Coturnix japonica: one gene and its partner. The protein of the gene in region 1 binds, or shares a complex with, the protein of each later gene. Links are inferred from orthologs where the notes say so. Each region holds a gene or a part of one and is shown in the gene's direction. Other genes may lie near its edges.

What was found. The genes of interacting proteins can lie anywhere in the genome.
Region 2: the proteins of GALR1 (region 1) and GAL are in contact, whole or in part, in a cryo-EM structure (PDB 7WQ3), measured with the Homo sapiens proteins. The link is inferred for Coturnix japonica from reciprocal best matches to the Homo sapiens genes GALR1 and GAL. Residues at the interface, in NP_001471.2 of Homo sapiens: Glu32, Gln92, Thr94, Val95, Tyr96, Leu98, Pro99, Thr100, His112, Gln174, Phe177, Arg180, Gln184, Phe186, Cys187, Trp188, Glu189, Gln190, Ile266, His267, Ala270, Phe275, Leu277, Ser281, Phe282, Arg285; in NP_057057.2 of Homo sapiens: Gly33, Trp34, Leu36, Asn37, Ser38, Gly40, Tyr41, Leu42, Leu43, Gly44, Pro45, Val48.

What each region holds. Positions count from the first base shown.
Region 1 is NC_029517.1:81,385,797-81,389,446, reverse strand, and holds part of GALR1 (galanin receptor type 1), read left to right. Parts: intron 1-240; coding exon 241-558; 3' UTR 559-3,650. UniProt on the Homo sapiens protein: Receptor for the hormone galanin. The activity of this receptor is mediated by G proteins that inhibit adenylate cyclase activity.
Region 2 is NC_029520.1:8,165,443-8,169,192, reverse strand, and holds the start of GAL (galanin peptides), read left to right. Parts: upstream 1-1,299; 5' UTR 1,300-3,750. UniProt on the Homo sapiens protein: Endocrine hormone of the central and peripheral nervous systems that binds and activates the G protein-coupled receptors GALR1, GALR2, and GALR3.

The sequences.
Region 1 (3,650 bases):
AGGAACATCATCCTTTGCCTTTGAGAAAGGAGATGTGTTTCTCTTTTGCTATGGAAGCTAATGTTCTTCTTGCAGTACTACAGAATAAAGTCCATGTAGGTAATGAAGTTAAATGATTAATAAACATTCAAAAGTGTGTTCTATCTGTCTACTTTTATTATTATTATTATCAAGTAATTATTTAAATAAGCTTGTTTTTAATACTCATAAGACATCTGTGTTTTCCTTTCCCTGTCTCAGACAGCACAGACTGTGTTGGTGGTGGTAGTGGTTTTCGGCATCTCCTGGCTGCCCCATCATGTGATTCATCTCTGGGCTGAATTTGGAGTTTTCCCACTGACTCAAGCTTCATTTCTCTTCAGGATAGCTGCACACTGCCTGGCTTACAGCAATTCTTCTGTAAACCCAATTATTTATGCATTTCTCTCTGAAAATTTTAGAAAGGCCTACAAACAAGTTTTCAAGTGCCAGATAGGTAACGAATCACCTCTGAATGATGCTAAAGAAAATAAGAGTCGGATAGATACACCACCATCTACAAACTGTACGCATGTGTGAACTTTAGAAAGTCCTGTTTGCTGGCTCTTCAGTTGTGTGAATGAACGACACTTCTGGAAAACAAAGCACAATGAGCTTTATCGCAGCTTTTTCTTGATAAAGCTAATAGGTATTTAAGATAATGAAGTTGCATTTGTGTCAAATGTTCATGAAACTGGTATGAAGGAAAAGTGGGCTGCTCCCTTATATTGTTGCTTTGCCAAATGAAGCTCCTGACCTTTGAAAGATAATTCAGAAGAAACAAAACATTGGAGATGACTTGTGTGTGTTCCTATTCATTAAGCATAATGTGCATAAGCATTCAAATGTAACATACAAGAGGTATTTGTCGGTATGGGTAAATCACTGAATTTTCTCACATCTTACTCTATAGAAGCAAAAAGATGGCTAATTTTTCTGACTTACAGATAATAAGTACTGTGGGACAACAATTTCAGAGAGGAAAAGTTTCATTCTCTGTTCAGGTTGTTTTGCCAATGTCTTTTCCATTTTTAAAGTAAAGATGGGATCTGACTTTGAGTTGAAATAACCAATGTACAATTTGAGGAGATTGCTTTAGAGAGGCAACACCGATTTTATCTGTTCAGCTATCTTTTTAATGTAACATAGTGAACGATGATGTACTTTTTACCTCTTTGTATGCCTGCCTTACTGCATACACAGAACTTTTGTGTACACTATATAAGGTTTTGTTTATGGCCTGTGTGAAGTTCCATCAAAATGGAAATTTGTCTGAGGAAAGCTTTCCTTCAGCTGTTGCATGTGTCTTATGTGTGTGTGTGCGTGTTTTGTTAACTTTATTGAGTCCGAGATGGAAGTACAGTTTTAAATGTGCAATATGAATATATATTTTAAAATATTATGTTCCATGAAGTAAATCCAAGCAATGTGTAAGTGTTTAAAAACAGCAATCCTTTAGAAGTTCTAACAGAGGTTTGATACAATGTAACTCTAAAATGGAAAATTTTGGAAGGATACATTTAAATTGGTACAAAGTATGTAATATAAATTATAAATAAAAAGTGTGAGGGCCTCAGTATTTTGAGGATGTATTGTTAGCTGTAGCGTGATATACTTTTACCATTTATGTTCATGACCCCTGCAATCATAGAGCAAATTAAGTTGAAGAAACCTCTTGGGATCCTCTCAAGGCAGGGCTGCCCTCACATCCATATCACTTCTTGTCTAGGTATGTTTTGAAGATTTACAAGGACAGAAATTCAGCAGCTCATCAGTCATAGCTGGGATTTCTCTTAATGTAGCTTGCAACCATTTCCCTCTGTCCTCTCACCATGCCCTTGAGAAAAATCTTCAATCTAACCGAACATGCATAATAATAGATGACAATTAGAGTTTCTCCCCATCTTCTTCAAGCTGAAAAAATGAGGTTCAAAGTCCCTGGACTTCCACTGGACTTGCTGCAGCTTGGCCATCCCTCTCATGCACCGGAATGTTCCAAACTGGGCAGCATGTTCCACGTGCTTTCTCATGAGTATTGAGCAGAGGAGACAAATCATCTCCCTTTACCCCATATTTTTTTCAGTGGAATTGCATTCAGTCAGCCTGATTTTTGATGTGGTTTTGTTGTAATTTATTAATTTGATAACTTTTGTTCATTCTCTGGCTCATCAGGCGCTTCCAAAAGAAAACTCTTCACTCCAATGTATCTGCTATCCACACAGGTTTGGTGTCATCTGCAAGCTTGCATTCTTGTGCCCTTGTTCTGGTCTTTGCTGAAGATCGTATAACCATAGAATGGCTTAGGTTGGAGGAGTCCTTATAGATCACCTAGTTCCAACCCCCTGATGTGGGCATGGCCACCACCCACCAGATCAAGCCACTCAGGGTCCCACACAACCTGGCCTTGAACACTTCTATGTTTGGGACATCCACAGGGTGGATCTGGGCAACATGTTCCAATTCCTCACCACTCTCAAACTTTCTTCATAGGAGGGGTGCTCCAGCCCTGTAATCATCATCACTGGACACATTCCAAGAGCTCCACTTCCTTCCTGTGCTCTGTGCCACAGGCCTGGATGCAGTACTCCAGATGGGGTCTCATAAGGGAAGAGTAGAGGGGGACAGTCACCTCCCTTGCCCTGCTGGCCACCCCACTGTGGATGCAGCCCTGGATGCAGTTGGCCTTCCAAGCTGCAAGAACACACAGGTGGCTCGTGTCCAGCTTTTCAAAGTTGTTAAATAATTTTGTGATGCTTTGTCAGGTGCCTTTTTCTCCACAGACTTACTGGTCAGTTATGGAGGGCTAACTCACATGAAAATGCCTCCTTACATGTCAGTGTTGTCTACGTGGAATCAATAAAATAATACTGAAGGCATGCTGGTGCACACATGACATTTGTGTCCAGTCCTTCATATGAAGAAGCAATTTGAAGTTACTGCTAGGAGCACAAACATACAAGAAAAAAGAAGTGGAAAAGAAGGGCTTATCTATAGCTAGTCATTTTCTGGGTTAGATCTGGCAGTAGGAGAACAGTCTAGCACAATGTTGCTGTTATACTAAGCTTTCAGTTTTTTCAGATTCCAATCACTGAAGTTATTAAGTCTCTATCAGACCACACTTGAATTTATAACATATTTGGTGATCTTGCAGCTCCAAAAATTGTATTTTTTCCTTTTTAAAAATTATTTGACTAAAAAATTACAGTGTAAATACAAGCTTATACTAATATAAATTTAACCCTACTGTATGATTTCAGGAGGAAATTGCATTTTTTCTTGACTGTAAATCCTTTTAAACTTAGTGACATCATAGTCAGTAATGGGACTTCATCAGTTTGAAATTCTAAGGATGAAGGAGTGGGGAAGGCCTGCAGTAAGAACATGTTTATAGCTCCCTGTCTGATTTCTGAGGGTGTCAGTAAATCTTGCAGCTTACTTCTCAGGGATGTGTTAAGAATCATTTATAACTCCAGAATTCAGTTTTGTGGCTAAAACATATCCCTTTTAGTCCATATCTCTACCATGGCTTTGATGTGTCCACTGCAACCCAGAGGAAGTTAGTGTTAAAACAGTATTAAATACTGTGAACTGTGTCTATCCCTTGAGAAGGTGGAGAGTTGTGCAGGGATTTG
Region 2 (3,750 bases), on another chromosome or scaffold:
AAATTCAGTCCTCCCCAGACCATAATTCACTGCAGTCTTTCTAGGGCCGTTTAAGAGATTTGTTTGGGAATTTGTCTGTGCGCCTTTTTCTAAGGATACATTTTAACAGACTGTCTGCACCTTAATAGCCCTTGGTTTTGGCTTGCCTCAAACTTCCAGCTTTCTGCTGATTTCTCCCAAGCAAATAAGCAGATACCTTGCATTGAGCAAATGCTGATCTAAATTAAGAGCACGGGCTCCCTCTGTAGCCACTGGAAAGAATAAGCACCATTCATGCCTACAAAAGACAAAAAGCCATAAAGTAAGCAGCTTTCCTACCCTTTCTCTCCCCCATCCCCCCCCAATTGAATTCATAAACATCCTTTTTCAGCAATAGAAAACCATTGTGTGGGTAACTAATTCAACCTATCCTGCATGTGATAATATTGGCATTTTTATTCTGCAGACCCATGGAAAATGTCACATGCAGCAGAGATAACTGACATTTCTCCCCCTCACTCCACAGTCAGTCTTTAAACTTAAAAAAAAAAAAAAAAAAAAAAAGGCCTATATGTCTAACTCGTATGTCCAAAGCATCGATGGAAATGAGGATTTTGAAAGCTCTTAAGCACTCGTGTTCCCATTGAGAATCAGAAGTGATTCTCAGTGCTCAGCGCACATCAGGATCTCACTATAGATCCTAACAAATGTAACTGAAGTTTTGCATCCTCCTGAATCACAAGTGAGAACAAAGATAATTTTAAGGTAAATTTCAGCCTTGCATAATCTCTTCTGAACCATAATCTCTTCTCAACAGATCATAACATTTATTACTTCTGCTGGAGCTGAAATGCTACATTTGAAAGTTAGGCCACTGAGAATAGATTTAAGCCTGAGATGAAATTGTTTTAGCTGGGTTGGTTTAGTGTTTTGAAGGTTTTCAGGTGTGATGTGGAGAACACTTTGTGCCTTTTATTTGCTATTAGTGCATTCTCACCCCAGGGCTTCAGGTGAAAAAGACTTAGAGGTGAGAAATCAGAACATCATTGTTTCCCTATTTCTTTTTCCATTGAGAAGATGTGGGAGCACTCCCTGTTCAGATAACGCTTCCCTGTCAGAGAACAAGTGTGCCAAACCCTTTCCACATCTGGAAAACTTCCTTTGTAAATTTTAAGTGATTTCAAAGCCAGTGCAGAAATTCTAACTGAGTTATAATGTTATGTCAGATAAGGGACTAATGTTATTTGCAATGTATGCGAAGTTTTGTTTGTTTTTTTTTTTAAACAAACTGCATTTTTAGTTTGTTTAACGTTGCAATGTATGCAATATACAAACACTACATTTGAACCAAGATCAGAGTTATCATGTTTGATTGTGAGAGGAGTGTCTGTGAAACCATTCCCTTCCCTGATTGGCCCTATAATATAAATGACAGTGGTGGAGCAGAGGCTCTACTACATGCAGCCACTTTGCCCAAATAGCAGTAATCTGGGGATGCAGGGGACTAGAAAAATACAGCAGGATCCGCAACATATATTGATCCACTATAGAGAGAACCAGGAACCCTGACAAATGGTATTTCTTAGAATTTCTATTTCAGAATCTCGGGGCTTTCCTCAGGCTATTATATAAACTCTCATTAGGAGAGCTTCTATTTCAGTCTGACATCTTTAGGAAATTAAGCTTGTGTAATTGCATTGGCTGGCAACCCATCCTTGATAGGTTTGAAGCTGTTGGCTAATTGTCACTAAATCTGCCAAATATTTGTTTCTCCTTTAAGTTTTATGTAGAATTAAGCAATATTTTTCACAGTATTATTGTGTTTATAGCAATATTATTATTTTCAGAACATTCCTCCAAACCTTTTGCTCTATTTTTTCTTTCTTAAATACACTAGTAGCCTAAAAATCAATGTGCCTCCTGAAGTGAAAACCATTTTAAAAGATTTATTATGGAGACAGTTTTGTTGTAATGATATATGTAGTGTGAATAACAGCACTATTAGCACACTGAGTGGTCTAATAACAGGAAATTATTGGTTGATACCAGTGTAATTTGGATCAGAAAATGGCCCTTCATACGGAAGGTACCTATAATATTTAGTTCTATTTGACACTGAGCTGCAGGTGGTAAAATGGACAAAAGATACTCTCAGTGAAAATTGCAGGAATTACAAATTGGAAAAATGGGAGAAAAACAATAGTAAAAGCTTTGGGAGGACAAAGAAAAGGACCTTTCACCTATTCCTGCCTTTGTTTTATGTTTTTTGTTTCCTAAAGAAAAAAAATACCCTACCATATTTTCAGTTCTACATCCATTAAGGAAGCAGCAAGTTCTACACATAGGAAGGAAAAAAATAATCCAGAGGTTTCTCAAACACTTACAGAGTAAACTACCTTAAAAGTGATACAGCTGTGTATCTACATGACTTTCAGATATATGCAATGTCATCAGCTTCTGCCTTGATAGGTTAATAATGAGCAGCTGAGGTACCAAGAGCTGGGTAATACAGCTGCTCTGTGATAATGTCTCCATTTACCAGCAAACTATCATTATGTTTTTAGATCTTTGGAGCCATTCACAGTCTTGCTGGCATCCAGAATTCTTCATAGCTCTTGGACACCCAGAGCTGTCAGTGTCTGTACTCTACTGGAAATTAATGTATGTCTTTCCCTTTCAGAATTAGATTTTGTCACAGAAAGCCTTGAACTTGTGACCTCCATGCTCAGTTACGGTAAACTTATGAATTTACAGTTAAAACACCAATATTACAAAATCTATAATAGTTTCCAGTGCAGAAAAGAACAGTAACTGAACTTGCTTGTGGTACTACATGTCAGTGGCTCACCAGTAAATACTGAAACAGACTCAAAGACAGACATCATCTCCACAGCTCTTAATAGAATCAGTTCTAGTCAGTTGGATGATGACCTCCCCCTGATAGAATAGTTTCTTCCTGTAACATCAAAGTTTTGCTGGGATTACGCCAGTATATGGGAGTCAGTTGTGTCTTGTAACTCATCTCTCAAGTCTAGAATTCACTTTGACTACTTATATAAAATTAGAGGTTTTGCATACATACCTGAAGACGGTCTCTAAGCACCTTGATACCACCTGGGAAGAAAAACACATTTTTCATGAAACTGAGCATCACTGTGTGAATACTTTCACTATTTATTTACTGCATCCTTTATCCTGGCTGTACAGCTTCAGTAGCAGAATCATTTCTTCCTTTTTCACTTATCTCTCAGTAAGCTCCACAGGAAAAAGAGCCACTGTATCTCCAGCTCCTGCTGAAATACACCTCAAATCCACTTTTTCCAGATCATTCTATATAAACAGTCATTCATTGTTCTTACAGTTTTTGTTAAAAAATTAAATAGATTGTATTACCACATCAATCACAACTAAAAGACATTTTTGCTGTTCAACCCATACTGAGTTGGGATTTTTCTCTGGATTTAACACTTCCTCACAAAATGAAACCAAGAAATACATCAGTGGAGGAATCAGATGCTGAAGAGCCACCTCAGTAGGAAAATAAACCACGGAGTTGAGCAGAAGGCTGTTTTTAAGCTGAACTATGAAAGCCAGGCTTCAGACCAAACTGTAATTCTCCTCTCTAAGCAGTGAGGTTTAGAACTCTTAAGGAAGAAAAGAAACCATGGAAAATCGTGAGAATGATAGCATCAATTGTAGGAATGGCAGATAAAATGATTTAATTGACACTAACCTAAAGACAGATTTACACGAAACGTATAATGGGAAAAT